Linked DNA regions of Mus musculus. The protein of the gene in region 1 purifies or fractionates together with the protein of each later gene. This does not show direct contact. Links are inferred from orthologs where the notes say so. Each region holds a gene or a part of one and is shown in the gene's direction. Other genes may lie near its edges.

Region 1 (4,182 bases):
AATAAAGATTTCTATTTTCCATGGTCCTGCACTGCTTTTTACAAGTCGGATTCCCGCAGACAACGACCTGCAGCCCGATAATGACACAGTGACTCGCTGGAATGAGCGACTGTGTTCGCCTCGATCGCTCCGACTTCTGGGGACGCAGGCTGCCCACGCCGCGCCCCGGCCGGCCGCCGGCCGACCCTGGCCGGGGCTGCCAGATCCGCGGCGCACTCGCTTGGCCCCCTCCGCCAGCCTCGTCGCGGTCTGGAAACATTTCCTGCCCCCGCCCCCATCCCCAGCTTCCCGGTGGGAGCGAGTTGGCCTCCCGGCCGGGTCAGCGCTCGCAGTTACCCCAACTCGCTTCCCAGACAGCCCGCGCCGGGGAGGGCCCCGTCTGGCTCCGAGAAGCCGTGGGGGAACCCAAGCGCCCGGCGCCGAGCGAGGTCGCTCGGGAACCCCAAGGTTCGGGCAAGGCAAGGGCCAACTGGCAGCGCGCCGGGACCCCGCTGCCTTTCCTGGCGTTACCTGCTCGCTTGCGGGGGTGTCCCGGAGCAGCCGGCCTCTCCCGGCGCTGTCTCCCCACGCAGTTGCCCATGCTGGCTTCTCAGCCGGTCCCCCATGCACCAGAGGCGGCGGTCGGCCGGCTGCTCCACGCTGCTGCCCCGAACCGCGGCGTCCCCGGGTCAACGACTCCCGCAGCCCGACATCGAGAGCTCCTGGATCTCCCCTGGGGAGCGCTCTGCCCGACGCCGGCTTCGCCACAAACTTTGCGGGCCAGCGGAGAGGGAGGTGGCCAGGCCAGGGGGGCCCGCGACAGTGCCCGGCCAGAGACCAGCCCGGCTGGAGGGGCGGAGGGAGGGGGCGGACACCGCCGCAGCTACTCCAGGATCACTCCGAGCTCCCAGCTGGGGCCGGCCCCCCGGAGCCTGTCACTCACCTGCCTAACCCCGCCCCGGCCCGGCCCCGCTCCCTTCCTCCCGCTTGGGGTGGCCGCGCCACGGTCGCCAGCCGCCCCAGGTGCGCATGTGACCGACGGCACCGCCCCTCGGGCCGGGTCTGGTTTTCTCATTGGCTTTTCCCAGGATGCGTACCGCCCCTCGGCCCCACCCAGCCAGGTGCCCGCCCTGTCGCCCGTCTCCCGGGGAGAGCGGCCGGGAATTATGCGCCCTCAACCGCCCCGGCTGCGTGCCCGGCAGTCACTTCCCCTCCCGGAGCCGCGCCCCGGCCCAGGCCCCGCCCTCTGGGGAGGGGCCGTTAGGTCCCTGAAGGGACTGCCTGGCCCAGAGCCGGCAGGCACGTGACCTGGAGGTGCCCCGCCCCTGAAGTCTGCGCCCAACTATTGGCCATGGAGGCGCGTGCGCGGAGAGACACATCTCGTAGCCACACCCACTTCCCCCTCCCACAATCTCTGGCTAGCGTCATGGCTGCCGCCACCGGTCTGGAGGAGGCAGTGGCGCCTATGGGCGCCCTGTGTGGCCTCGTGCAAGACTTCGTCATGGGTCAACAGGAGGGGCCCGCTGACCAGGTGGCTGCAGGTATGGCAAACAACGCCGCGAGGCTTCTGCAGGGGCCGGACCGCAGGGAGCGGCCTCAGCACCCGCGCGCGGCGGGAAGGGAGTGAAGGGAGAGGTGATTGTGATTGGTCCTCTGGCCGCTCTGCCCCCGCTGGGAGCGCTACTGCCCTAACAAGTTGGAGAGTCGCTTGCATCTTCCTTAAAGCTTTCTTTACATTCCGCATCTCGCTGTGGTCCATAGAGAATCATTACATTTCTCCGAGAGTAATAGACTTGTGCAAGGCACAGACGAGTCCGGAAGTGGAGCTGGGACTTGGACTCGGGTGTTCTGGTCCAAACCTGGTGCTTGCACCGCAGGACCGCGTTGTTTGCGGAGTGTTAGGTGAGAAGGTCTGGGTTCCAAGGGTTACGCTCCGGCCTCTTGCCTTCCTGGAAGTAGCGTGCGCTCCAGCTGTTTGAGTGGTTGTAATTGGATGGAGGAGGGGAGGAGCCAGTCTGGCTCTAGGTCGGTGGGCGTGTAGATGACTAGTGTCTTTAAAGATTCACTTATGTGTCTTAGTAGGCTTTAAAAAAAAGAATATATATATATATATAGTATGTGAGTACGCTGTCAGACACACCAGGAGAGGACATCGGATCCCATTATAGATGATTGTGAGCCATCATATGGTTGCTGGGAATTAAACTCAGGACCTCTTCAAGAGCAGTCTGTCCTCTTAATTGTTGAGCTATCTCTCCAGCCCCAAATAGGCTTTTTGATAAATTAGATTTATAACTTTTTAATGTCCCATTTTTTTATCCTTCTTCCCAGAGTTCCAATTTCAGGAATCTCTCAGTTCCGAGTTTATCCAGGATTTGAACAAATCCAGGGTGCCTCTTTAGAATTCTTTCTGAATGTTGAATGTTAGGCCTTCAGTGTCGGGTTTAAGAAATAGAATAAAAAATGGATATAGATGCGGGTTTTTAAAAATTATGTTTGGAAGTTTATGGGTGAAGAAGTTTCTTTAGCAAATTGAACAGATTAATTTTTAGAATATGTGAGAAATGAACTGCTAGAAATATATGTTGGTCCTTAGCAATAGTCCACATTCTCTGCCATTCTATTATTTCTGAGCACGTATTTTTTACCCAGCATGAAAAGAATTGAGGACAGAAATACAAATAAGATACTATCTATGGCCATCAAACTATTATAATTAGTGAGAGAAAGAACTGTGTTGTAAGAGGTAAATATATGGTTCCAGAGCATCAAGGGGCAAAAATGCCTGCTATTGGCTGGGCTTGGTAGTGCATTCCTTTAGTTCCAGGATTTGGCAGGGGGGTGGCAAGTTTGCTAGTGAGTTCTAGGCCAGCCTCAGCTACAGTGTGAGCCCCAATCTCAGAAAGAAAATAAAGCCCCTGGTACTTGCACTTAAGCTTATAACATTTTACAACTTAATCAAGTATAGTCTGTTATGGGTTATTATCAATGCCATTTCCCCCCAGATTTTACTATGGAGATTTCACAGCATTTAACAAAATCTAAAGAATTTTAATTTTTAGTTATTTATCTGTTTGTGTATTGTCTTTTGAGACAGGCTCTCTCTGTGTTGCCCTGGCTATCCTGAAACTCTGTAGACCAGGCTGGTCTTGGACTCAAAGATCTAAATCCCCCTCCCAAATGCTGGGATGACGGGCATGCACTACCCCTGCCCAACTTAAATTTTTTTTTAAAGATCATAGACTCACTACTTAGAGCCTATCACTAACATTTTTTTCTTTAATTTGAATTGTCACAAACCTACCCATTTAAACTGCAGAGATCAATACATTAATCTCTAACTTCTTTATCGAGCTCCTCATTGACTAGTGTTTGCTTTTGGTTTGTTTGGGGGGTAAACTTTAGATCCGGTGAACTATATATCAGGACCGTTGTTTTCACAGAAGCTTAGATATACTTAAACCCACCCCCATACCAAGATAGATGTTACTATATTAATGTTATCTGTAATTGTTCTTCCACATTTGTGCACTCTGGGAATAATAATTTTGGATTTTATGGATGCATAACACATCTTTAAAAGACAGCTTAAATAACTGCCTTCTTATTTTTTCATAAAATACCTTTTTTTGTTATGTCAAAAAAGGGAGCCTGAACTATCATCTTGTTTTAGTGTTTCTATTGCTATGACTAAACTCCATGACCAGAAAGCAAGTTGGGGAGGAAAGGGTTTATTTGGCTTGTACTCGGAGATCACAGTCAATCATTGGAGGAATTCAGGACAGGAACTCAAACCTGGAAGCAAGAGCTGATGCAGAGGCCATGGAGGGTGCTGCTTACTGGTTTGTTCCCTGTGGCTTGCTCAGCCTGCTTTCTTACGGGAGCCAGGACCACTAGCTCAGGGATGGTACCACCCAGAATGGGATGGGTCCTCCCTCATTGATCACTAATTGAGAAAATGCTTTACAGCTGGATCTCATGGAGGCATTTCCTCAACGGATGCTCCTTCCTCAGTGATGACTCTAGCTTGTGTCAGGTTGACACAAAACTAGCCAGTGCATGTATGGTTTAAAATCTACTCTGTAGTACCTGTGTAAGTGAACCCTATTGTAATTTATTCCTCTTAACAAAAGGAAGGTTGGTACAAAGGAATAGTAGCCAGTAAGGTTGAATGGGTTGATGGAGCCGGATTATATATAACCC
Region 2 (3,500 bases), on another chromosome or scaffold:
CTCTTACAATATCCGGCATAGCTTCGGAAAGGAAGGCAAGAGGACAGACTATACGCCTTTCAGTTGCATGAAGATTATCCTGACCAACCCACCAGGCCAAGGGGATTATCATGGTAAGTGCTTGTGATGGATGCTGGTGAGTGCTGTTTGCATTAGTGAAGGACCTAGCTTGTCTGTGTCTAGTTGGAGCCCCATTACTCTGACAGTAGTTTGTCTTATTGCTGAGCTCACTCAGCTTGTGCTTGGCTTCTGCTGGAGTAGGTTTCCTTTCCTCCTCTGTTCTTGTCTTGTGTTCTGCAAGGAGCTTGGGATAGAGGTGTTTTAAAGCTGTGAGAGGTGTGGAAGCCCTAGTTTCACAATAACACATTTTGTTGATGTTCAAAAGGCCTTGTGCTGAGGCACAGTGTATTGTTTGTCTTACTACTGTCATCTGAGTAACAGATTAAGTAAGCAGTTTAACAAAGCCCCGGTGTCAAGGGTGTATGCCAGTTTGCCTAAGTTGTGTACACACACACACACACACACACACACACACACACGTTTTTCAGTTCAAAAACGTATTTTCTAAAATAATTCAACCAGCACATCTTTAAAAGCTTCCCATTTTGTCTGGTATGTCAGGGAATGATTAATAGTTTATATTAGTAACCTTTCTAGATTGCCAAAGCTTGCTGTAACCAGATGTCAGTATTTTGTTTTGTTTTAGAATCTTAAATGAAACCACCATGAAAAGAACATACCGTTAAGCTGTTAAAAATTGGGCAATCATAAACAATATTTTTAGAATTTCCCTCCCCTCCCCTCCCCTCCCCTCCCCTCCCCTCCGTTTCTGTTTGCTTGATAGGTGAATCAAGTTGCTATAAATAGATGTGGCATGGTATGTGGTCTGTTTTCGAGTGGGTTCCATGACTGCTGCTTGTAATATTTGTCCTGTTTCTCTGGATGGCATATTTTATAGATATGTTATGTGCATTTGAGTATAATGCAGTTTAATCTGAAGCTTCATTGTTGGTTTTTGGGCTAGGTGATCTATTTAGAGATGAAAGTGGGGGAATCAGAATTATTTTATTATGGCCTATATGTCCTTTTGTGTTTATCAATGTTTGTTTTAAGAAATTGGGAGCCTCAACATTTGGTGCACATATATTCACAGCTGTATCTTGTTAATATGCGGTGACTTCATCTCTTTTGACTACTTCTGGCCTTGAAACCAGAGGAGCAGAGTTAGCTGGTTTTCCATTTCTGTTTGCTTGATAGATGTTTTCCATCATGGGCGTCACCATATGTATACTAGTAAGAGGTGCATCTCGGAGGCATCAGGCAGGAAACCAGTTCTTAATTTCTATAGTGTTTTGAATCTGTAGCTCTTAAAACTGCTTAGGACTTGTGTCTGTCCGCTGACTCCAACACCTGTTCTTGCAAGCTGCCCTTCATTCTCTAGCATATGAATCACAGTGTTCTAAGCCTGGTCTCTTCATCAGCAACCCTGCTATTTTACGTCTACTGCCTGCTTGGCATCTTCACATTGAGCCTCTCCAGTGCTTTGCAGGTTTTCTCTCCTTGAAATAGGCTTGAGATGCTCTTCCCCAAGAATGTCAGGTTGCAGGAGACTGGGCAAGGACTCTGTTCAGATGGCGTTCTCTGGGGAACAGAATGTTCTAATGGAACTACTTTTCCTGTCCCTCTATAGAAGCCTGGTTTACGTATCCATTTATATTATCTATATGGTAAACACTGTGAGATGATAGATTTTCTGGATGTAAAACTCAGAGAAGTATTAAGCTGTCCTAATGTCATCTCTTGAGCTACTCTGAGATGTGTTTATGCTGAAACTTCAATCACAGATCAGCCAGTTGGCTCTGCCCAGGGCACTGGCTGTGATGGAGTTCTGCTCAGGAGTTTCATCTTCTGTCAGTTGCGAATCTCTGCACTTACCTCAAATAGACCTTGAGACCCTGTTTCTTTGTTACTGATTTTTTTTTTCAGGGAAATAGGGTATTTTTTCTTTATTTAGGATAGAGAAGTGACATCTGACCTCAGTATATGCTCAGTCAGAAACTGGACATGTGTCCTCTTTTGTTTTCTTATTAATAAAATTATCAGCCACCTACATTGCTTCGACTTCATCACCTAATGCTGCTTAGAATAGTTGAAGAACCAGTTATGAATCTATGTAAGTCTAACTGTATTCTGGCCTATCGTCTCTTACAGCTGTATCATTCTGCACTTTTGTTTGTTTGTTTGAGTTCCTTCTTTTTATTAACTCATGCACAACTACTTGTTTTCTGGTTTGTTGAAACAGTAAGTCAGACAACACTTGCCACAGTAATGCCTGTCAAAGTGGCTTCTTATGAAAACTCCAGCACCACATTCATCAGAAGGACACTCTCGACGAAGTAGGCAAATTTTGCCATTTTCATCCACCTTATAGTATTTCAGCACATCCAACTTAACCTTCTTCCTCTTATGCTTGTTCTTCTTGGGAGTGGTGTAAGACTTCTTCCTTCTCTTAGCACCACCACGAAGTCTCAACACCAGATGAAGGGTGGACTCCTTTTGAATGTTGTACTCGGACAAAGTCCGGCCATCTTCCAGCGGAGGTCAGCCTCTGCTGATCAGGAGGAATGTCCTGGGTCTTGGCCTTTACATTTTCTTTAGTGTCCGAGGGTTCAACCTCTAGCGTGATGGTCTTCCCAAAGATCTGCACTGTAGATCACCACCTATGCCATCTCCACCCACGAAGCATCAGAAAGATCACTCTACTCTTTTAACACTGTTGTTAGCTGTGGGTGTGTTCACCTGTCTTTTATTATCTTGTTTGTTCAGCCCGAAGATCATTCTCTTTGAAGTGAAGAGTAGGAACAGGGAATGTTATCTGTAAAAGTGACACCAGCCTGGCTAAGTACTGGCTTACTTCCTCTGAGTTCTGAGTGAGCATATTGGGAAAAGAACCTTCCTTGAGTTTCCTTCAGTTTCCTCCTGGCGTTGTCTTTCAGGACTCTTGCGTGGGTCAGTTCACCTTGTCAAGTATAATTTGGGTGACACTGTTCAGTCTCTCTCTCTCTCTCTCTCTCTCTCTCTCTCTAATACACCTTAATTCTTCTTTAATTATTGTAAATTAATTATTATTAATTAATGGAAACAACCAATAATTACCATTGCTTCTTTCTCATTGGGTTTTTTTTTCTATATTTCAAACCCAGATGCTGCAAAAATAGGCTCTTTTTAAAAATCCAGTAAGATATTTGTATTCTTTGAGAATTTCATACATGTATTCCCACTCTTTGATCATATTCATCCTCACCACTCCCCTAACTCCTCCCAGACCCACCCCTCCTCACCTCACCACTTCATCTCTCTGGTTTTTAATTTAAATAACTTACTGTGTTCCATTTGTATCCAGTCAGCCTTGTGGAATGCCAGAGTCTTTACTATGTATCATATGTTTTCTCAAAATGTTTCCTGTACTAAAGTGTATTTGTTTAAATCTGAATAAAGGA
Region 3 (3,197 bases), on another chromosome or scaffold:
TCCAAGGAAGGAGGAAAGGGCTGGCTCTGATAGGGCTCTTGATCATATTTCTTCCAGGAGGAACCAATGGCTGGCACACAGGCAGGCAGAGCCAAGATGTTCATGGTGGCTGTGAAGCAAGCACTGAGCCAAGCTAACTTTGACACCTTTACCCAGGCCCTGCAGCACTATAAGAGTTCTGATGACTTTGAAGCCCTAGTGGCCTCTCTCACCTGTCTCTTTGCTGAAGACCCCAAGAAACACACCCTGCTTAAAGGTGCCCTGGTTTTCAAAATTCTGCTATCAGGTTAACACTACAGCAGTGGAGGTGGGGCTTCTTATAGGGCCCAGGGTTGACTCTGATTCTCAGAGAAAAGGCCTAGTAGGTAGGCCATGGTCCACAGAGTCTGGTCCATCAGTCACAGTATATGGCTCAGACAACTACTTCCCACAGGTTTCTACCAGTTTGTTCGACCCCACCACAAGCAGCAGTTTGAGGACATCTGCTTCCAGCTAACAGGCCAACGATGTGGCTACCAGCCAGGTAACAACTTTCCTTTTGGAGAGCAAGCACAGTCAACTGTGGACTTTACCAGTGAGCAAGGTCCCAGGCTAGACGCTTAACCTCAGACTTGAAGGGCAGTTTACACTGGAAATGGGCTTAGTAGGCATCCCTGGGCTCTTGCTTAGCTACTTTAACCAATATTCTCCCAGATTCTGTCTGCAAAGGGTAGCACTTTTTGTTGAACTTTTAGGCATCCAAGAGACCTCCCCTAGGGAATTCATGCTAGAGGCTTGGCACCTGTCCTACTTCTCTCCTGCCTGAGCAGCTGAGCTGGCCCCTCTACTGCTGCAGTGCTTTATGGAGGGCAGGTGTGGGAGAGGGGATTTATTTATCCACAGAGCAGTACTTGTTCCAGTGCTTGATGCACGCAGGCATGGCAGAGGGAAAACTTACCCTTTGGGCTCAGTACTCATTGAGGTGTAGGTACGTATGCCCCTGAGCAGGACTCATTGGGCCCTCTTAAGACAGTCAGGTGGGTCTGATGTCAGGGTCCCCTTTCCTGTGTGAGGATTATAAGGCCTAATCTTAGGAGCATGTCTCTTCAGGAAAGAGAGAGCTGGAGTCTAAACTGACCTTGTCTGAAGGTGTAGACAGGCAGCTGGATCCTGGACAGCACCTGAACCAGGGGCAGCCTCACCTGTCTGCCCATCCAACCTCCAAAGGTACCTGGCTCCTAATAACCCCCAGTGGACTTAAAAATCCTTGAAGAGGCAGGCTGGACTGCTTGGTTCTTAAATCTATTTGTCCTGAGCAGCTAGCAGACTCTACAGAGATTCCTGGAAAGAAGTGGTGGTGGGGAACGTCCCAAGCCATTTGACACCCACTACACACCTCTCACCCTTCCAGCTCATTTTTCCAAACCAGGACACACCAGCCATTGTACAAAAGTGGGATGTGCAGTAGAAAAACCTGGCCAGCCTGCTGTGAGTGACTACCTATCTGATGTCCACAAGGCTCTGGGATCTGCAAGCTGCAACCAGCTTACGGCAGCTCTGAGGGCATACAAACAGGATGATGACCTGGACAAGGTGGTGGCTGTGGTGGCAGCACTGACCACTGCAAAACCTGAACACTTACCCTTGCTACAGAGTATGTAATCCTTGGGTGTAGGGCATAGGTTCTGGGAAGGGTGGTGAAGGCTGTCTGTGAGAAGTATGTGCAGAGCTTGAGCAGAAGTTTCCCCACAGGATTTGGCATGTTTGTGCGTCGGCATCATAAGCCTCAGTTCCTACAGACCTGTGCAGACCTAATGGGCCTGCCTACCACAGGCAAGGACTTGGAGCTCGAAGGTCCCAGAGATGAGAGCCCAACTGTGCCTCCTGAGCTTACCCATGAGGACCTGAAACCAGGTGAGGGCCCACTGGAAGACTCCTACCCTTGCCCTGTTTGTTACCCTGAGTCCACTGCACCGGGGGCTAACAGGAAGCCCATAAGTTTCTCGCACTCGTTGCTATCTTTAGGGCCCTCGATGTCCAAGAAACCTGAGAAGACCCAGAGTAAGATCTCATCCTTCTTTAGACAGAGGCCAGATGAGAGTGTGAGGTCTGATGATACCACCCCAAAGCCCATGCAACTTCCTCCTAGACTACCCCATGAGCTTATGAAGCCTCATCGGAGTAAGCAATAGGGGCTACAGTGAATGTTGGTTATGGTAGGGCACTGAACAGTGTGCTCACTTAGACCTCCTGCAACAGAATTTGTATGCCCGGCCTGTGCAACTGAGGATACAGTGCTTTTCCAGTGCCCCTCCTGTGACTTCTACCGCTGTTGGGCCTGTTGGAAACTTCAACTCCAGGTTGGGGTCTAACCCTCTCCAGCCCATCAGGCATCTCTCCAGGTGGTGGGGGCTAAGGGAGCAATGCCAAGCTTCAGTGCCTAGCAGGTATCTCCACAGGCCTCTAGACTGTGTCCGGCTTGTGGTGCTGTTAACAGGAAGCAGAGCATTACACAGGTCATCTGGCCGAAGCCCCAGTGAAGACAGATGGAGCCCTTTGCTTGCCCTGATGTGGTTAAACCCACTGCAGGTCTCATGCTTGGCTGTCCAATGAGATCTGAATCTACTTGTGAAGTTCTGAAACCTCAAATAGCCTATATTGGCATTGCACATGTACCACTGAAGGTGTAGGCTGTCCAATAAAACTAAGTTATCAGGATGGTGTCTGTATTGTGGTCTTAAACTGTGTGTCATGGCAGTGCCAAGTGTGGCACACTATCAATCCCTGCAAAAACAGGATCTCCTGTAGTTCCAGGGCAGCCAAAGCTACAGAAAGACACCTTTTTTAAAAAATATGTGGGAGGATAAAGGTCTGTTAAGATCTTTTCCAGACTTGCAGCATTCTCCATACCAGTTAGCTTTAAGCCAATAAGGAGCTTCCCTCCATCCATCCCCTGTATTGCCCCTTTCATCAGCTAGACACCATTGTGTCCCCACACCAACTATGCACAATTCTGTAGCTTAACCCTCTAGAACACAGCTCCTACTGCAGTGTCAGCTCATCCACAGGGAGCATGAGCATACCACACCACCCACAATCGCTTGTTGCTGCTGCCTAGGCTACTTAACACACGTAGGCTTCTGCCTAGAATGTATGCTTTGCTCACCTTGTGCTTGCATGTGGTGAGACTACGGGAGCTTGGGATTGTAGGGGGATCT
Region 4 (2,873 bases), on another chromosome or scaffold:
TGTGGGTGTGCCACGCCACACGTGTGGGAGACAGAGAACTTAGAAGTGCCTTTCTCCCCTTCTCCCCTGTGGGTCCTGGAGGTCAGACTAGCTCCCCAGACTTTCCTTTCGCACTGTCTCCCTGGGAGTTTCATTTCTGTCCTCTCTGATCTTTCTACTCGTCTTATACCAGGCCCCAGGGCACTTCTTAGTCCATGGTGTTTGTCTGGCACGCCTTTCTTCCATTTCAGTTTCCCTGGCATCTAGTCCTTGTTTGGAGAAGCCATGCTACCTTGTGTTTCTGCATTTAAATGTGCTCATCCTGTAGATTAGGTGACTGTGAGTGTTGGCTGAGCATCTTCTCAGTCAGCAGCTCTCTCCTAACGGTATCTCTGGGTGCCGGTTTGTTATGTGGGTTTTGGTTCTCACGGAGCACCATAGTATAGTGTGGTCTCTGCCGTTTGACTGAGCTTAGTGAGTTTGAACATAGAGCAGGCCAGGGGAGCAGGAATGGGGACACTGCCATTTCAGCCAGGCCTGATCTAGGCAGCTTTCGGCCCAGGGTATTCACTGCACTCTTTCTGCTCCTGTAATGAGACTCTTTATTATTAATTAAAATAATACAAAATAAAGACCACCATTGAAGACAGCTCTGCCTTCACAGCAGCAGTGTAGGGCCTGAGCTCTTATTCAGACCAGTCAGCAGCAGGATAGCAGCCGCTTCCACACAGGAAACAGAGGTGTTCAGGATTGTCAGAGTGCTCAGGGAGGCACAAGAGAATCCTATGGCCTCAAGGACAACTGTGCCACGCTGCCTCTGCTGAGCCTCTCCTTCATGGCCTCTGATCGTCCCATCTCCACATCCTGTTGGCTCTAGCAGGGATGGTCATGCCGTATGGGGGCATTGTTTTGACAGGAGCTGTATAATGTGAACCATCTTATCTAACGGAGCCAGCAGGTGCTTTGAAATACTAAAGCTGCCGTGGGAGTAGCATGCCCCCCTTCAGCTCAGGCAGACTAGAAGCCTTGCTCAGTGGATGCCTCCTCGAGAGCAGGCCGTGGTGCTCACTCACCTGCACTCTCCTCCAGCCGTGTTCTCCAGGCTTCCCTGTCTGGCACACCAAGGCAAACGGAGGGAACACTGGACTGGGGCCCTCTGGTCACTCAGACCCCTGTTAGGCCTCCCTGGAGGTGGGCTCAGCCTTCCTACGGCAGAGCATCTTGTATTATCTGCCTTCAAGAGTGTGTTTGATGAACAAAATGTCTCCCATGGAGTCTAAAAACAAAACAAAAAACATGACTGTGTTCTAATCATGGAAAAAAGAAACAGACTTGTCCATTCCAACCATGGGGTTACCTAGACCCTGCAGGCATCCAGATGTTTCTATAGTGAAAGGAGCTATGGCTGATACAGCTGCAGGAATTTTTTTTTTCCTGAACATTGTTTTTCTTTTCTGTCTTTATAGGAATTCAGAAATAGGCTTGGGAATCATCCAAACGGAACTTCAGACACCTGTCCTGCAACTCAGCATGGCTCTGCGTATTCCAGAATGGTGCTGCAGATGTCCCAGTATGACTGCGCACTGAAGGTGGCTACAGGCCTGGCTCTCCTCGCTCTCCTTTTGCATTTCTGGCCAGACTCTTTGCTTACAATGTAACTAAGTAAAGCCTCCATAAGGAATAAGTTTCTAATTCAAGTGGTCAACAAACAAGAGGACATCAACACCAGTTTTCAAGAGACTGCCTTCTGAACTAGACACACTGCCTTGTCTGGATCTCTTCTGAATGCCCTCACACTGAGCTGAGCCATCTGACCTCAGACCAGATCACAGCTTCTGAACATGTCTTTCTCATCAAACTCCTTCAGACTTCTTCCTAACAACAAATACAAGTGGTTGGGTTTTTTGGTTGGTTTTTGGTTTTTTTTGTTTTGTTTTGTTTTTTTTTTGTTTTTTGTTTTGTTTTTTTTTTTTTTTGTCTCCAGTCATTGAATCCCAGCCTAAGTGCACAGAGGCTCTGCCTATTCGTGGCTCTGGCCATCCTTTCCTTGTGTGGAAGAACATCCAGCCCTTAATAAACATTCTCCCGGCTGTGTTTGGAGTCCCCGTGCTACAAACATCTTTTTCACAGCAGATGTGTTCCTAAAAAGTTTATATAGAAACCTATTTTGAGAACTTGGACCCAAGTCCACCACTTAAAGGACTCTTCCTGGCGTTCTAGAAAATGTGAAGATTCCATGCCTGTGGCACCCACAAACTTTCAAACAAACCATGATCCTTTCCTGACACACCGACCAGGCATGTTACATTTATCATTTTGACCCAACACCACCAGCCGTCTTTACTAAATGAAATGACTTCTTTCACAATAAACAGAATTGGTACAATAAGAAAACACTGTGTTTATTGGACTTTAAATGAGTTATTTGGATTGGGTAGGTGAAGGAAAACCAAGTAAATGCCTTTAAATACCTAAGGAATATTTTCATCTCTAGACCCATACCCTCTGTCAGCACTTCGTTACATCTGTCCCCTAAAATCTCCATCCCAAAATATAGTGTCATTAGTTGGGGGAAATGTGCATATGCAAACACTCACATGTGGACACTCATTACTAACGTAACATTGGTGACTAGCTTGCACAGGGGATAGCAATGGCTGGAAATCTAGCTTGTTCATTCCTTTTACCTCCTGCTAGAGGAAGGGAGGAGAGAAGACTGTCCCAGTCTACATTTGAGCCATTGAGAGGGTGTGGAAACACAGCTCTCAGGGACAGGTCTGAGTGTGGCTAAAGCAGGCGTGGCTTTCAGTGGCCTCTCCACCTTGCCTCCCCCCATTCAGTGTAGTTCTACGGCTTTTCCTTTGAGGCCAAGCAAGTCTGCATGTGGTTTTTTA
Region 5 (3,752 bases), on another chromosome or scaffold:
ATGACTGAAGATGACCTGCGTTCTATCCCTGGAAACCATACACTAGAAGAGAGAACCCCTCCTGAAACTTGTCCTCTGACCTCCACTTAACACATTGTGGCATGTGCCCTCTTCTCAAATGTAGTTAAAATTTTAATGAATGTGAGAATCTTCCCGACAGTGCTGGAAATCCCAGTGGGGTTGAGATGGAAAAACTGCTGCAGCCTGACCCAGAGCTCAGAGGTCCCTTAAGTCCCCTTGGCCCCAGGAGAACTTACATTGCTGGATCAGAGGTCCCATCCTTTACACAGTTTAGGTGGCCCAGGGGTATAAACCACAGCATCCCTAGAGGCAGCTTGGCGAAGGGAACTAGCAGGAAGGCGTGGACACCCACATCAATACCACTCAAATGAAAGAGATTTCCCCATGTGACTGGTCATGATGGGACTGGAAATGTACAGATGGCATCAAAGTTGAGTCTGTTCTATCAGCGGGCGCCGCACTGTGGGTGTTGCTACCTCCTTGTGACCTTTAGGTCAGCCTTGTCAAAGTACTCTTTGTTTTCAAACACTGTTTTTACCCACTACAAGACCCCAGCTTATCCATCCAGGCTCACTGAGGGACCTCTGGACCTGCTGCCATCATTCAGTCCTGCGAGCAGTCAGCCATGGGCCACGTGTGCTGGTCCCAATGGCACAAGTCTGTCTTCCACCAACCCTGCCTCTCCTGAGTTACGAAAAAGACTGTGGGAATTATATGTGCAATTTCCCATTCTTTAGACAAGCTGGACATGACATCACCCATGCCAAGAATGATATTTCTGCCTGCTAAGGCATTCGTGGCCTCCATAGCCTGGCTGACAGCAAAGGAGACAGTCTGGTAGGGAGGGGTTATAGGATAAATTAAGTGCTGCCTTCTCAGGGCAGATCAGATTCAAGTGGCCTAGAGGTCACCACGGTCTACATTAGGATGCTCTGAGGTGAGAGTTTAGGATCGCGTATCTACTTAACAAGCATGTAACTAGTGCTGCCGATTCCTACTAGAGGAAACCAGCGTGTCATTAGATCTACGGTTCTACGATAGCGTGACAGCGAGCTGGAGCGTCCCAAGGCCCAATCACAAGGAGCCTTTAGTGCCCTTGTCAGACGGTGTTGGCTTCCTGCGATCCAGCTCCCAACAGGATCCCACGGCTAAGAACCGAAGGGACGCCCCGGCGAGAGCTACCAACATTTTTCCCGCTTTCGGAGTAGCCCGCACGACAAATACACCGCTTCTAGCAAACTACTCGCCGAATCCCTGGAGTGTGGCGTGTCCCTTGCACGACCCCGTAGCCACACCACGCCCTCTCCTCGTTCCCAGGAAGTGCGCGGAAGGAGCGGAAGTACACACCACCGGGGGATTGTGGGAACCGCGGTTCCGGGATGGTGGGCGGCGGCGGTAGCGGCGGCGGGCTCTTAGAGAACGCTAACCCCCTCATCTATGAGCGTTCCGGGGAGCGGCCAGTGACGGCGGGCGAGGAAGATGAGGAAGTGCCGGACAGCATCGACGCCCGGGAGATCTTCGATATCCGTCGCTGCAGGGCGCTGGCGGGACGGTGGGGGCTTGGGGTGTCGGCAAGAAGTGATGCGCAGCCCGCTGGTGGAGGGGTGTCCCGGTTAGGCGTTGCCTGCGGAGATTTTGAGTGGGCCAAAACTTAGAGTCCCTTTTCCTTCACTTGGCACATCTTATCCGCTCCATTAATGACCCGGAGCATCCACTGACACTGGAGGAATTGAACGTAGTAGAGCAAGTTCGGATTCAGGTGAGTAGTTTACTCGAGTAATCAAAAAGGTACCGTTGTACCTCAGAGGCTGGTGTTCTCCGTTCACAAGCCCCCAAGAGGATCTGTGGGAGGTGTGTTAATGTTTATGGAGCCGATAAAAAGTTGGGTGACTTGCCCAAATCGATAAACTAAAGAGTGTCTTTGGGCTAGGGGCCGCCGTGCGATCACTGCGATCTGATCTCCCTTGTCATCGCAGGTTAGCGACCCAGAGAGCACAGTAGCAGTGGCCTTCACACCCACCATCCCACACTGCAGCATGGCCACGCTTATTGGCCTCTCCATCAAAGTCAAGCTGCTGCGATCCCTTCCCCAGCGGTTCAAGGTCAGTTGGAGTCAAGCCCCCGAGGGTGAAACAAACTACTGGGGCGGGCGAGGGGACATCGGGCGGAGATCGGAAGGATCCGAACTCGCAGAGTTGAACCCCCAAGTTGATGTGACAAGAATATTGGGGGGAAAAAACTCCAGAAAATAGGAGTGTGGTGGAAAGGGCAGCTGGGAGCTGTGAATGGGCGTGATCGATCGAGGCACTGGAAGGCTTTTAAAGTCAATAGTCGCTGACTAGGTCCTAGGGTAAAAGTGGATTGACTGACTGCAGGTGGGTTTGGGGTGGCTTGGAAGAGCCAGAATCAAGAGGGGTGACTGGGAGTTCAGATGGTTGGGAGGTAGTGTCCAAAAGAAAAGGACAGGCGGGTAAATGCTCGGGCCCACATTGTCTTTCCTGCAGATGGATGTACACATTACACCCGGGACCCACGCCTCCGAGCATGCAGGTTAGTGTGGACTGCTGGGCCCCAAACTAGGTGAGGCTTCCCCTTTGCCACAGTCATCTGTGGGGGCAAGATTAGGACCAGGGGACTAAGTGAATAAAATGGCCATACTACAGCTTAGACCAAAGCTGGCCTGACTGAAATCTCCTGCTTCCCATGACCCACCCTCCTGTGGTCCTCAAGTACACAGGGACATTGGGTCGGGCTTCAGGAAACACTGGAGGGAGGCAGACATAAGCAGTCCCTGGTGGTGACGGGCATTCCAAATGATGAAGCTAGTTATGGGTACAGGTGATGCATATAGCCTGATCCAGGCTTGGAGTCCTGAGACTATCAGAAAAGAACTTTATTGGTAGAAATATAATGTATACTGAGGCTAGCAACCTGGCCCAAGTTTGCTTTAATCCTGTTTTTCCACCCTTCTTTTCCTACCCAGTGAACAAACAACTTGCAGATAAGGAGCGAGTGGCAGCTGCCCTGGAGAATACACACCTGCTTGAGGTTGTTAATCAGTGTTTATCCGCCCGCTCGTGAGCCTGGCTTTGGACCCCCAGCCTGCACTCAGGTTGTCCTGGCCTCAGCTCCACCAAGGGCTCATGGCTTTGTTTTCTTGAATCACTGACAAGGAGAAACTTAACACTTTTTATTTTGTAATAAACCCTTAATTTATATTCATTTCCCAGTATGCCTTAGCGTCTCTCATAGTGGACTCATTTTCGGTTGTAGTAGAGTGGGGTGGGGACCTATGAAGGGTGGGTCCATGAGGTGCCCTCATTGCTTCTGATAACTCCCAGTGGGGCTGGAAAAATGGCTCAACAGTTAAAAACACTTACTGCTCTTAAGATCTGGGTTAGGTTCCCAGCGCCCAAGTTACAACCATCTGTAACTTCAGTTCCAGAGGATCTTACATTCTCTTCTTGCCTCCAAAGGCACCAGGAACACATGTGATACACACATGTATAGGCAAATACTCATACATATAAAGTAAATCAGCAAGCTGTATATAGTGGTACAAACTTTTTAGTCCCAGCACTCAGGAGACTGAGGCAAGCACATCTATGATTTTGACAACAGCTTGGTCTACATAGAGAGTTCCAGGACAGCCAAGGCAGTTATAGGGAGACCCTGTCTCAAAAAATAATAATAATTTTTAAAAATTTGTTTAGCCTTTCCAATGTTTCAGA
Region 6 (3,500 bases), on another chromosome or scaffold:
GTTCACCCTTTTGTCAGGTCTGTTGGGAAAGACCCCCTGAGGGCCTCTGATTTGCCACTTGTGCTTGTAGACATGCTTCTTGCTGCCAGTTTTCACCACCAAGTAGTGTTTCCAGTAACAGTTGCAGCTGATAGCCCCCGACTTTGGCCCTGTTCCAGTCTCTACTGTCATGCTCAGTAACCTTCAGGACTTCAAGAGAAACATGACAGTACTTCCACTTAAAGACAAGAGAAGTGGGTTTTAGAGAATTGTATGGTTCACTTGACATCACACAAGCAATTGTCAGCATCTAGCACACAGGTCCTGGTCTACTCAGTTCTAGCATCTGTGCTGTTTCCCACCCCGGTTTCACCCTGTGACCTCCATAAATGATGGAGGCACCTCCTATGTGAGTGATGTGGGGACCGTTTGTGCTCCACCTGACTCCAAGGTGGTAGCAAAAACAAATGACACAGGCATTTGCAAACTGCAGACTCAGGGAAGTGGGGACAGTTCAAGACAGGATTTCTCTGCACAGCCCTGGCTGTCCTGGAACCCTACCTGGATTTCTACCACTTTGCATGACCTGTGATGTTAGTAACATTATAGATTACAGGATTTAAGAAGTAATCATTTAGGCCAGGCATGGTGTGGCACACGCCTTTATTTAATCCCAATACCAGGGAAGCAGAGGCAGGCAGATCTCTACAGAGGTCAGCCTGATCTACGTAGTGAGTCACAAGCCATCCAGACTTGCACAGTGAGACCCTGTCTCAAAATAAAATAACTTTAAGAACCAAACATTTTAGCCAGGCGTGGTGGCACATGCCTTTAATCCCAGCACTCCGGAGGTAGAGGCAGGCGGATCTCTGAGTTTGAGGCCAGCCTGGTCTACAAAGTGAGTTCCAGGACAGCCAGGGCTACACAGAGAAACCCTGTCTCATAAAACATTAAAAAAAAAAAAGAACCAAACATTTCCCAAATACTTATGACAGGTACATGCTAGGCTATTTCCATTTTAAGTGTCTAGTTTTAACTCAACTAACAAAAGGGTCTCATTCCATTTATCTAGTTCTAGAAAGTCAGAAAAAAATAGTGACCTCACCTAGTAGGAGAGTGCCTGTGTACCCTGTGTCTTGCTAATGCTGTTGTTACTGTCATTCCTACAGAAAATCTATAAACATAATTAAAAAGTACTTTGAGGAATATGCCTTAGTCGGCCAAGATATTCTTGAAAATAAAGAAAACTGGGATAAGATTTTAGCCCTTGTTCCTGAGAATATCCTTTCCTGCGGTTACTATGTAAGCCAGTTGTGTCGGTCTGTGACATAGATGTGTGCGTTTACATAGTCTCTGGGACATTATACATGTGTGTGTTTACATAGTCTCTGGGACATTATAGATGTGTGCATTTACCTTGTCACTGTGTCATTATTCATGTGTACTGTCTGCATAGTCTCTGTGTCATTATTCATGTGTACTGTCTGCATAGTCTCTGTGACATTATACATGTGTGCTGTCTGCATAGTCTCTGTGACATTATACATGTCTACATTTTTGTATCACTGGGCTACAGTAAGAAATGGGGCCATTCTGTAGAACAGTTTCATCATCTTACAAGTTGTTCCTAGAATTAGTGGTTAAGAATGGGGAATCATTTCATCTAGATATGATGGCTTAAGTACTTTCTAATTACGTTAGCATTTCTGCCAGATCACTACTATAGTTGCACAGGGAAACTTTTAATGCTGTAAGTGCTGAGCACGTGTGTCTCAGGGATCATTAATAGTTTCTGAATGTGTGAAGCGTCAACCTTCTTGTAATAATATGTACTAAAGACTTACTCATTGAGGTATCCCAAGTGACCATGCTCCTTAATGAAGCATCACCAATTCATGATGAGCTGCAAAGAGGGTTCCAGAAGTTCCACAGTTCACCTCAGCGCTGGGAACACCTGAGGAAAGTGGCCAACTCATCTCAGGTATCCACCCCTGGGCCCCGTGTTTACCAACACAGCTCCTGACCGAGTTATGACCGTCTGTGTTCCCTCTGATCCTCATGGCGGTCTCTCTCACATCTGCTTTTAGAATATGAAGAACGATAAGTGCGGCCCCTGGCTGGAGTGGGAGGTCATGCTCCAGTACTGTTTCCCACGCCTGGATGTCAACGTCAGCAAGGGAGTCAATCACTTACTGAAGAGCCCTTTCAGTGTTCATCCCAAGACAGGTACAGTGCAAACAAAGTCAGGAAAACTGAAGGAAAAACACCTGTCTTGTCTTGTCTCTCAGTGTAGCTGGCGTGGGACTCAATGTGCAGATCAAGCCTCACTCAGAGATCTGCCCGTCTCTGCCCCCAAGTGCTGGAATTAAAGGCGAGTGCCACCCCGACTGGATCAGTATGTGTTAGCAAGGATGTCATTGGTTGTGAATACATGTCTATGAGGTGAAATGTTGAAGAGTCGACCTGTTGGCTACTGTCTACCTTGACAATGTTCCCCTTGTCAGTTAAGGAGCTCCCGGGAGAACTGCTACCAGATAAAGGTTTTGGGGTTAGGGATGGAGCTCAGTTTGCAGAGTGTTTGCCTGGCATAGCCAAAGCCCTGGGCTCCATCCCCAGCAATCATAAAACTGTGTGTGATGGCACAGGCCTACAATCCCGCTAATTAGGAGGAGGAAATGGGAGGATCTGTAATGCAATGTGGAGCTTGAGGCCAGCCTCAGCTATCTGGGAATCTTGTCTCAAAAAAAGGAAAAAAGAAGAAAGAAAGAAAGAAAGAAAGAAAGAAAGAAAGAAAGAAAGAAAGAAAGAAAGAAAACTGAAGCCTGGATCCGAGATTTTACACATTTGTGATCACAGCACTCAGAAGGTAGAGAAGCAAGAGAGTTAGAAACCTGGGAGATGACAGGAAGGTCAGAGTCATCCCCGGCTACACAGCAAGTTCCAAGCCAGCCTGGATTCTATGGTGGGACCCACTTCAAAAGGAATCATTGTATCCTCAGCTCCTAGATACGCATTTTTTTTTTTTTTTTTTTTTTGGTTTTTCGAGACAAGGTTTCTCTGTATAGCCCTGGCTGTCCTGGAACTCACTCTGTAGACCAGGCTGGCCTCGAACTCAGAAATCCGCCTGCCTCTGCCTCCCCAGTGCTGGGACTAAAGGCGTGCGCCACCACGCCCGGCTTCTAGATACGCATTTTCTGTATCGCCTCAGAGGTAGATTTATAAGATCATGCTACCTACCAACTTAACATTACCTTTAGCAAAATATCATTTATTTATTACCAAGCAGATATCACAGTATATTTTTATATAAAATAAGCTGCTTGTTGTTGGATATCATTGTCTGTGCAGTCCATCATTTGACCAAAAATATCCCTATGGCCACATGACTGTATTTTCAAAATATTTTGTGGGACTGCTGAGATGGCTCAGTGGATGAAGGATCTTACACGCGTTCTCGCAACCGGCCAGGAAGAACACAACAAACCGGAATCTTCTGCGGCAAAAGCTTTATTGCTTACATC
Region 7 (3,500 bases), on another chromosome or scaffold:
GCTCTCCATAGGTTTGTGACTATCAGGCCGAAATGCCCCAAACACCTCCACAGGTAGAGGATGTGAGGTCACTTAGCCTCAAGACAGATCTCCATTTTAATGAGGTACCTAAAGGCCTAGAGGCTTAACCAGTAAACTTCTCTTCCCAGACACTCTTCTCTGCAAAAGGTGTTTGTTTAACCTTGGGCCCACCCTGAGAACGTGGGGTACAATTTTACTCATCGCCACTGTCCTCCGTGACAATAAATAGAGTCATAGAATATACTTCTTATAGTTCATGAATCAGCATTAGTGTGTTATTGTCACCCAAAGGCCATGGTTTTTCTGACAGCTTAGTCCCCATGTTGTTTAGTTCAACTAGGATTTGCCTAGTCACCCACCATTAAGGCATCATACAGAATAGATTTGCTGTCCTAAAACATCCTCTATATTGTACTTCTTCATTCCTCCTGTACCCTTTGACACTCCTGAAACCCAGACAAGCACTCATCTCCTTGCTGACTCTATGGCTTTGTCTTTTCTAGAATGCCTTGTGATTGGAATCATACTATATATAAATCTTCCCTGTAGCAATATGTAGTTAAGTTTCTTGCATGTAGGGTGTGCGTGTGCACAAGTGTGAATCTGCGTCTGCATCTGTGTCTGAAATTGGTGTTGGATAAACGATTGGTGCCCTCCTCCTTGGAAGACTATTCTCATTTTCCACAGTTCTTTGTGTAGGATTGAGGCCTTCTGCCCTGTCCTTCTACATTAGCATGCCTATTATCCTTGTTCAGTTCTTGTTTAGGCCTTCATGTTGGTGAGACTTTATGGGTATGGCCTAGCACACAAAATCTCACAGCAAATTTTTGTTTCTCCAGTTTTATAGTCTTTCCACATACCCATTGTCTTCTACAGTGATCCCTGACTTAGGTGCAAGAGTTACCTTGTAGATGTATCCTTTGGGATTGGGCTCCATAACTCTGCCTTTTGATTCATTGTGGTTTTCTGTGATGGTCTCTGACTGTTGCAAAGAGAAGTTTTCTTGGTGTGAGGTAAGGTCTACATTTAATGGGCTAAACCTAGAAGAGGGATTTCAAGGAGGATTCTTTTTTTGTTATTTAAGATTTATTTATGTATGTATATATGTATATATGTATGTGTGTATGTGTGTGTGTGTGTGTGTGTGTGTGTACCCATGGAGGCAAGAAGAAGGCTTCGGATCCCCCTGAAACGAGTTACAGACAGTTGTGAGCTGCCACATGAGTGCTGGAAACTAAACCTGGGTTCTCCTCCAGCCTTGTTTCTTTTCTTTTCTTTTTTCTTAAGACTTAATAGTATTGTATATGTTTTTGTTTTCAGTTTTGTAGATAAGGTCTTATGTATTATAGTCTGGCCTTGAACTTGCTAGATACCCCGATTAACCTAAACTTTCATCACTAACCATATCCTTACTTTTCCTCATGGAAAGATTTGTATGTTGAGGAATTCTTGGGTCACTAATAGCAGTCTATGCTTAACTCTTCAATGCCTCTGGTCTTAGTTTTATTTCCTTTTTTATTGTTTCTCTAAACTATTTAAATTTTACTTATCAGGTCTGGGTGTGGCTCATTAGAGTCCCTGCCTAGTAGTAGTCTTTTTGTTGTTAGTCAGTTTTGTTTTTGAGAAAGTTTTTCTGTGTAGTCTTGGCTATAAACCAGGCTGGCTTCGAATTCATAGAAATCCACCTGCCTCTGTCTCCTGGGTGCTGGGATGAAAGGCTCTCAATACCATGCCCTGCTCTTACTACTGTTCTTGAAGACCTGGGTTCATCTACCAAAATAATAGCAAGAAAAATGAATATTAGTAAAATATGTTTATCATATGATAGCCTCATTACCAGACTTACTTCCTATATATAATTCAGGCATTTAGGGAAAAAAAAACTTTATTCAAATCCATTGGTACTTTTAAATTTTAGTTCATTGCTTCTGAAAGGTACTAAAGAGCATGCTAGTTGCCTGAAGAAGTTATTCTCCTAAATGTCTTTATTAAAGTGTCTGGCTCAGAGGAATATTTGTTAACATGGAAATCCAAACTCCATTGCTGGGCTTGGGTAGGTCAGTTACAGAAAAGCAGAAAGCCCTGGAGTTCCATCCTAACTACTGTGATAGGTAAAGAGGCAAGACCAGAAATGCAAAGCGATTTGAGTTTTTGCGTTCATGAATACCTGCTTCATTTTGGTTTGTATTAATACTTTGCAAAGGATTTTCCTTCTGTCAACCCTCTACCCACTTAATGAATGATACGGTAATTTCTTACAGAGGCATCTCTCAGCTGTTCTTCAAAAAGAAGAGAAAGTCACACCAATCCATGGTAAAGAGGAGGCAATACAAATCCCTATTATCAGTGCATCAACTCAAGTCGTGCTCAAAGGACTCTTTATGGTGCTTGACTATCTCTTTAGAGAAAATAGCAGGTAAGCCTGTTTTGTTGGGATGTTGTTGATGTTGTTGTTGTTGTTGTTGTTGTGTTTTTAGCCTTTGGTCAGTGTCTTAGTCAGGGTTTCTATTCCTGGACAAAACATCATGACCAAGAACCAAGTCGGGGAGGAAAGGGTTTATTCGGCTTACACTTCCACATTGCTGTTCATCACTAAAGGAAGTCAGAACTGGAACTCAAGCAGGTCAGGAAGCAGGAGCTGATGTAGAGGCCATGGAGGGATGTTCCTTACTGGCTTGCTTCCCCTGGCTTGCTCAGCCTGCTCTCTTATAGAACCAAGACTACCAGCCCAGAGCTGGTACCACTGACAAGGGGACCTCCCCCCTAGATCACTAATTGAGAAAAATGCCTTACAGCTGGATCTCATGGAGGCATTTCCCCAACTGAAGCTCCTTTCTCTGTGATAACTCCAGCCTGTGTCAAGTTGACACAAAACTAGCCAGTACAGTCAGTAAGATGTCTCAGCAGGCAAAGGTGTTTTTTTTTTTTTTAATATAAGATGGCAACCAGAGTTCCATCCCCAGAGCTACATAAAAGTGGAAGGAGAGAACAAGTTCCACAGGCTGTCTTCTGACCGCCACGTGCATACTGTAGTACACGTGCACACATGCATACTGTAGTACACGTGCACACAGTAATAAATGAAAAAAATTTTGTTATGGTTTTAGAGCTTTATTGTAGAAAGGCAGAGATGAAGAGAGAAGGTAAAAAGAGGGAGAGAGAGGCTGGCCATGGCCATGTGGAGGGAGTGGGGAAGGGAGAGAGAGAAGGAGGGCTAGAGATGAGAGTAAGAAAGGTGAGAGCTTATAGAGAACATAAATGAATTTTTTAAAAATTAGCTAGATGAGTGTTGTTTTTAACTTAGTAGGGAAATCTTAAATGTTACAGATATATATCTGTAACATATATATATGTATGTATGTATGTATAGATTGTTATTGACAGAGACGTGGATCAATTGAAATGTGTCTTTTTCTCATTAATGAAAATAAATATTGAAATCAGTTAGTAAGTGCACTTAATTAGCTTGTAGTCCTCCA

Evidence for each region.
Region 2: the proteins of Mms19 (region 1) and Prim2 purify together in Homo sapiens (affinity purification with western blotting; 5 studies listed by BioGRID and IntAct, with this or other methods). This does not show direct contact. The link is inferred for Mus musculus from reciprocal best matches to the Homo sapiens genes MMS19 and PRIM2.
Region 3: the proteins of Mms19 (region 1) and Rtel1 purify together in Homo sapiens (affinity purification with western blotting; 4 studies listed by BioGRID and IntAct, with this or other methods). This does not show direct contact. The link is inferred for Mus musculus from reciprocal best matches to the Homo sapiens genes MMS19 and RTEL1.
Region 4: the proteins of Mms19 (region 1) and Cdkal1 purify together in Homo sapiens (affinity purification with mass spectrometry; 4 studies listed by BioGRID and IntAct, counting the BioPlex papers as one, with this or other methods). This does not show direct contact. The link is inferred for Mus musculus from reciprocal best matches to the Homo sapiens genes MMS19 and CDKAL1.
Region 5: the proteins of Mms19 (region 1) and Ciao2b purify together in Homo sapiens (affinity purification with western blotting; 11 studies listed by BioGRID and IntAct, counting the BioPlex papers as one, with this or other methods). This does not show direct contact. The link is inferred for Mus musculus from reciprocal best matches to the Homo sapiens genes MMS19 and CIAO2B.
Region 6: the proteins of Mms19 (region 1) and Prim1 purify together in Homo sapiens (affinity purification with western blotting; 3 studies listed by BioGRID and IntAct, with this or other methods). This does not show direct contact. The link is inferred for Mus musculus from reciprocal best matches to the Homo sapiens genes MMS19 and PRIM1.
Region 7: the proteins of Mms19 (region 1) and Brip1 purify together in Homo sapiens (affinity purification with western blotting; 3 studies listed by BioGRID and IntAct, with this or other methods). This does not show direct contact. The link is inferred for Mus musculus from reciprocal best matches to the Homo sapiens genes MMS19 and BRIP1.

The regions. Positions count from the first base shown.
Region 1 is NC_000085.6:41,978,337-41,982,518, reverse strand, and holds the start of Mms19 (MMS19 nucleotide excision repair protein homolog), read left to right. Parts: upstream 1-1,382; 5' UTR 1,383-1,405; coding exon 1,406-1,520; intron 1,521-4,182. Other genes in the region: Ubtd1 (ubiquitin domain-containing protein 1), read right to left, coding at 511-580. UniProt on the Homo sapiens protein: Key component of the cytosolic iron-sulfur protein assembly (CIA) complex, a multiprotein complex that mediates the incorporation of iron-sulfur cluster into apoproteins specifically involved in DNA metabolism and genomic integrity.
Region 2 is NC_000067.6:33,481,295-33,484,794, reverse strand, and holds part of Prim2 (DNA primase large subunit), read left to right. Parts: coding exon 1-113; intron 114-2,180; exon of another isoform or gene 2,181-2,706; intron 2,707-3,383; exon of another isoform or gene 3,384-3,393; intron 3,394-3,500. UniProt on the Homo sapiens protein: Regulatory subunit of the DNA primase complex and component of the DNA polymerase alpha complex (also known as the alpha DNA polymerase-primase complex) which play an essential role in the initiation of DNA synthesis.
Region 3 is NC_000068.7:181,353,920-181,357,116, forward strand, and holds the end of Rtel1 (regulator of telomere elongation helicase 1), read left to right. Parts: intron 1-57; coding exon 58-256; intron 257-433; coding exon 434-523; intron 524-1,089; coding exon 1,090-1,206; intron 1,207-1,390; coding exon 1,391-1,633; intron 1,634-1,731; coding exon 1,732-1,893; intron 1,894-1,978; coding exon of another isoform or gene 1,979-2,004; coding exon 2,005-2,171; 3' UTR 2,172-2,238; coding exon of another isoform or gene 2,239-2,339; 3' UTR 2,340-2,438; coding exon of another isoform or gene 2,439-2,519; 3' UTR 2,520-2,697; downstream 2,698-3,197. UniProt on the Homo sapiens protein: A probable ATP-dependent DNA helicase implicated in telomere-length regulation, DNA repair and the maintenance of genomic stability. Acts as an anti-recombinase to counteract toxic recombination and limit crossover during meiosis.
Region 4 is NC_000079.6:29,324,801-29,327,673, reverse strand, and holds the end of Cdkal1 (threonylcarbamoyladenosine tRNA methylthiotransferase), read left to right. Parts: intron 1-1,445; coding exon 1,446-1,637; 3' UTR 1,638-2,373; downstream 2,374-2,873. UniProt on the Homo sapiens protein: Catalyzes the methylthiolation of N6-threonylcarbamoyladenosine (t(6)A), leading to the formation of 2-methylthio-N6-threonylcarbamoyladenosine (ms(2)t(6)A) at position 37 in tRNAs that read codons beginning with adenine.
Region 5 is NC_000074.6:104,639,339-104,643,090, reverse strand, and holds Ciao2b (cytosolic iron-sulfur assembly component 2B), read left to right. Parts: upstream 1-1,362; 5' UTR 1,363-1,400; coding exon 1,401-1,542; intron 1,543-1,700; coding exon 1,701-1,780; intron 1,781-1,997; coding exon 1,998-2,123; intron 2,124-2,525; coding exon 2,526-2,571; intron 2,572-3,004; coding exon 3,005-3,102; 3' UTR 3,103-3,252; downstream 3,253-3,752.
Region 6 is NC_000076.6:128,021,715-128,025,214, forward strand, and holds part of Prim1 (DNA primase small subunit), read left to right. Parts: coding exon 1-17; intron 18-1,148; coding exon 1,149-1,258; intron 1,259-1,868; coding exon 1,869-1,960; intron 1,961-2,066; coding exon 2,067-2,205; intron 2,206-3,500. UniProt on the Homo sapiens protein: Catalytic subunit of the DNA primase complex and component of the DNA polymerase alpha complex (also known as the alpha DNA polymerase-primase complex - primosome/replisome) which play an essential role in the initiation of DNA synthesis.
Region 7 is NC_000077.6:86,142,194-86,145,693, reverse strand, and holds part of Brip1 (Fanconi anemia group J protein homolog), read left to right. Parts: intron 1-2,282; coding exon 2,283-2,437; intron 2,438-3,500. UniProt on the Homo sapiens protein: DNA-dependent ATPase and 5'-3' DNA helicase required for the maintenance of chromosomal stability. Acts late in the Fanconi anemia pathway, after FANCD2 ubiquitination.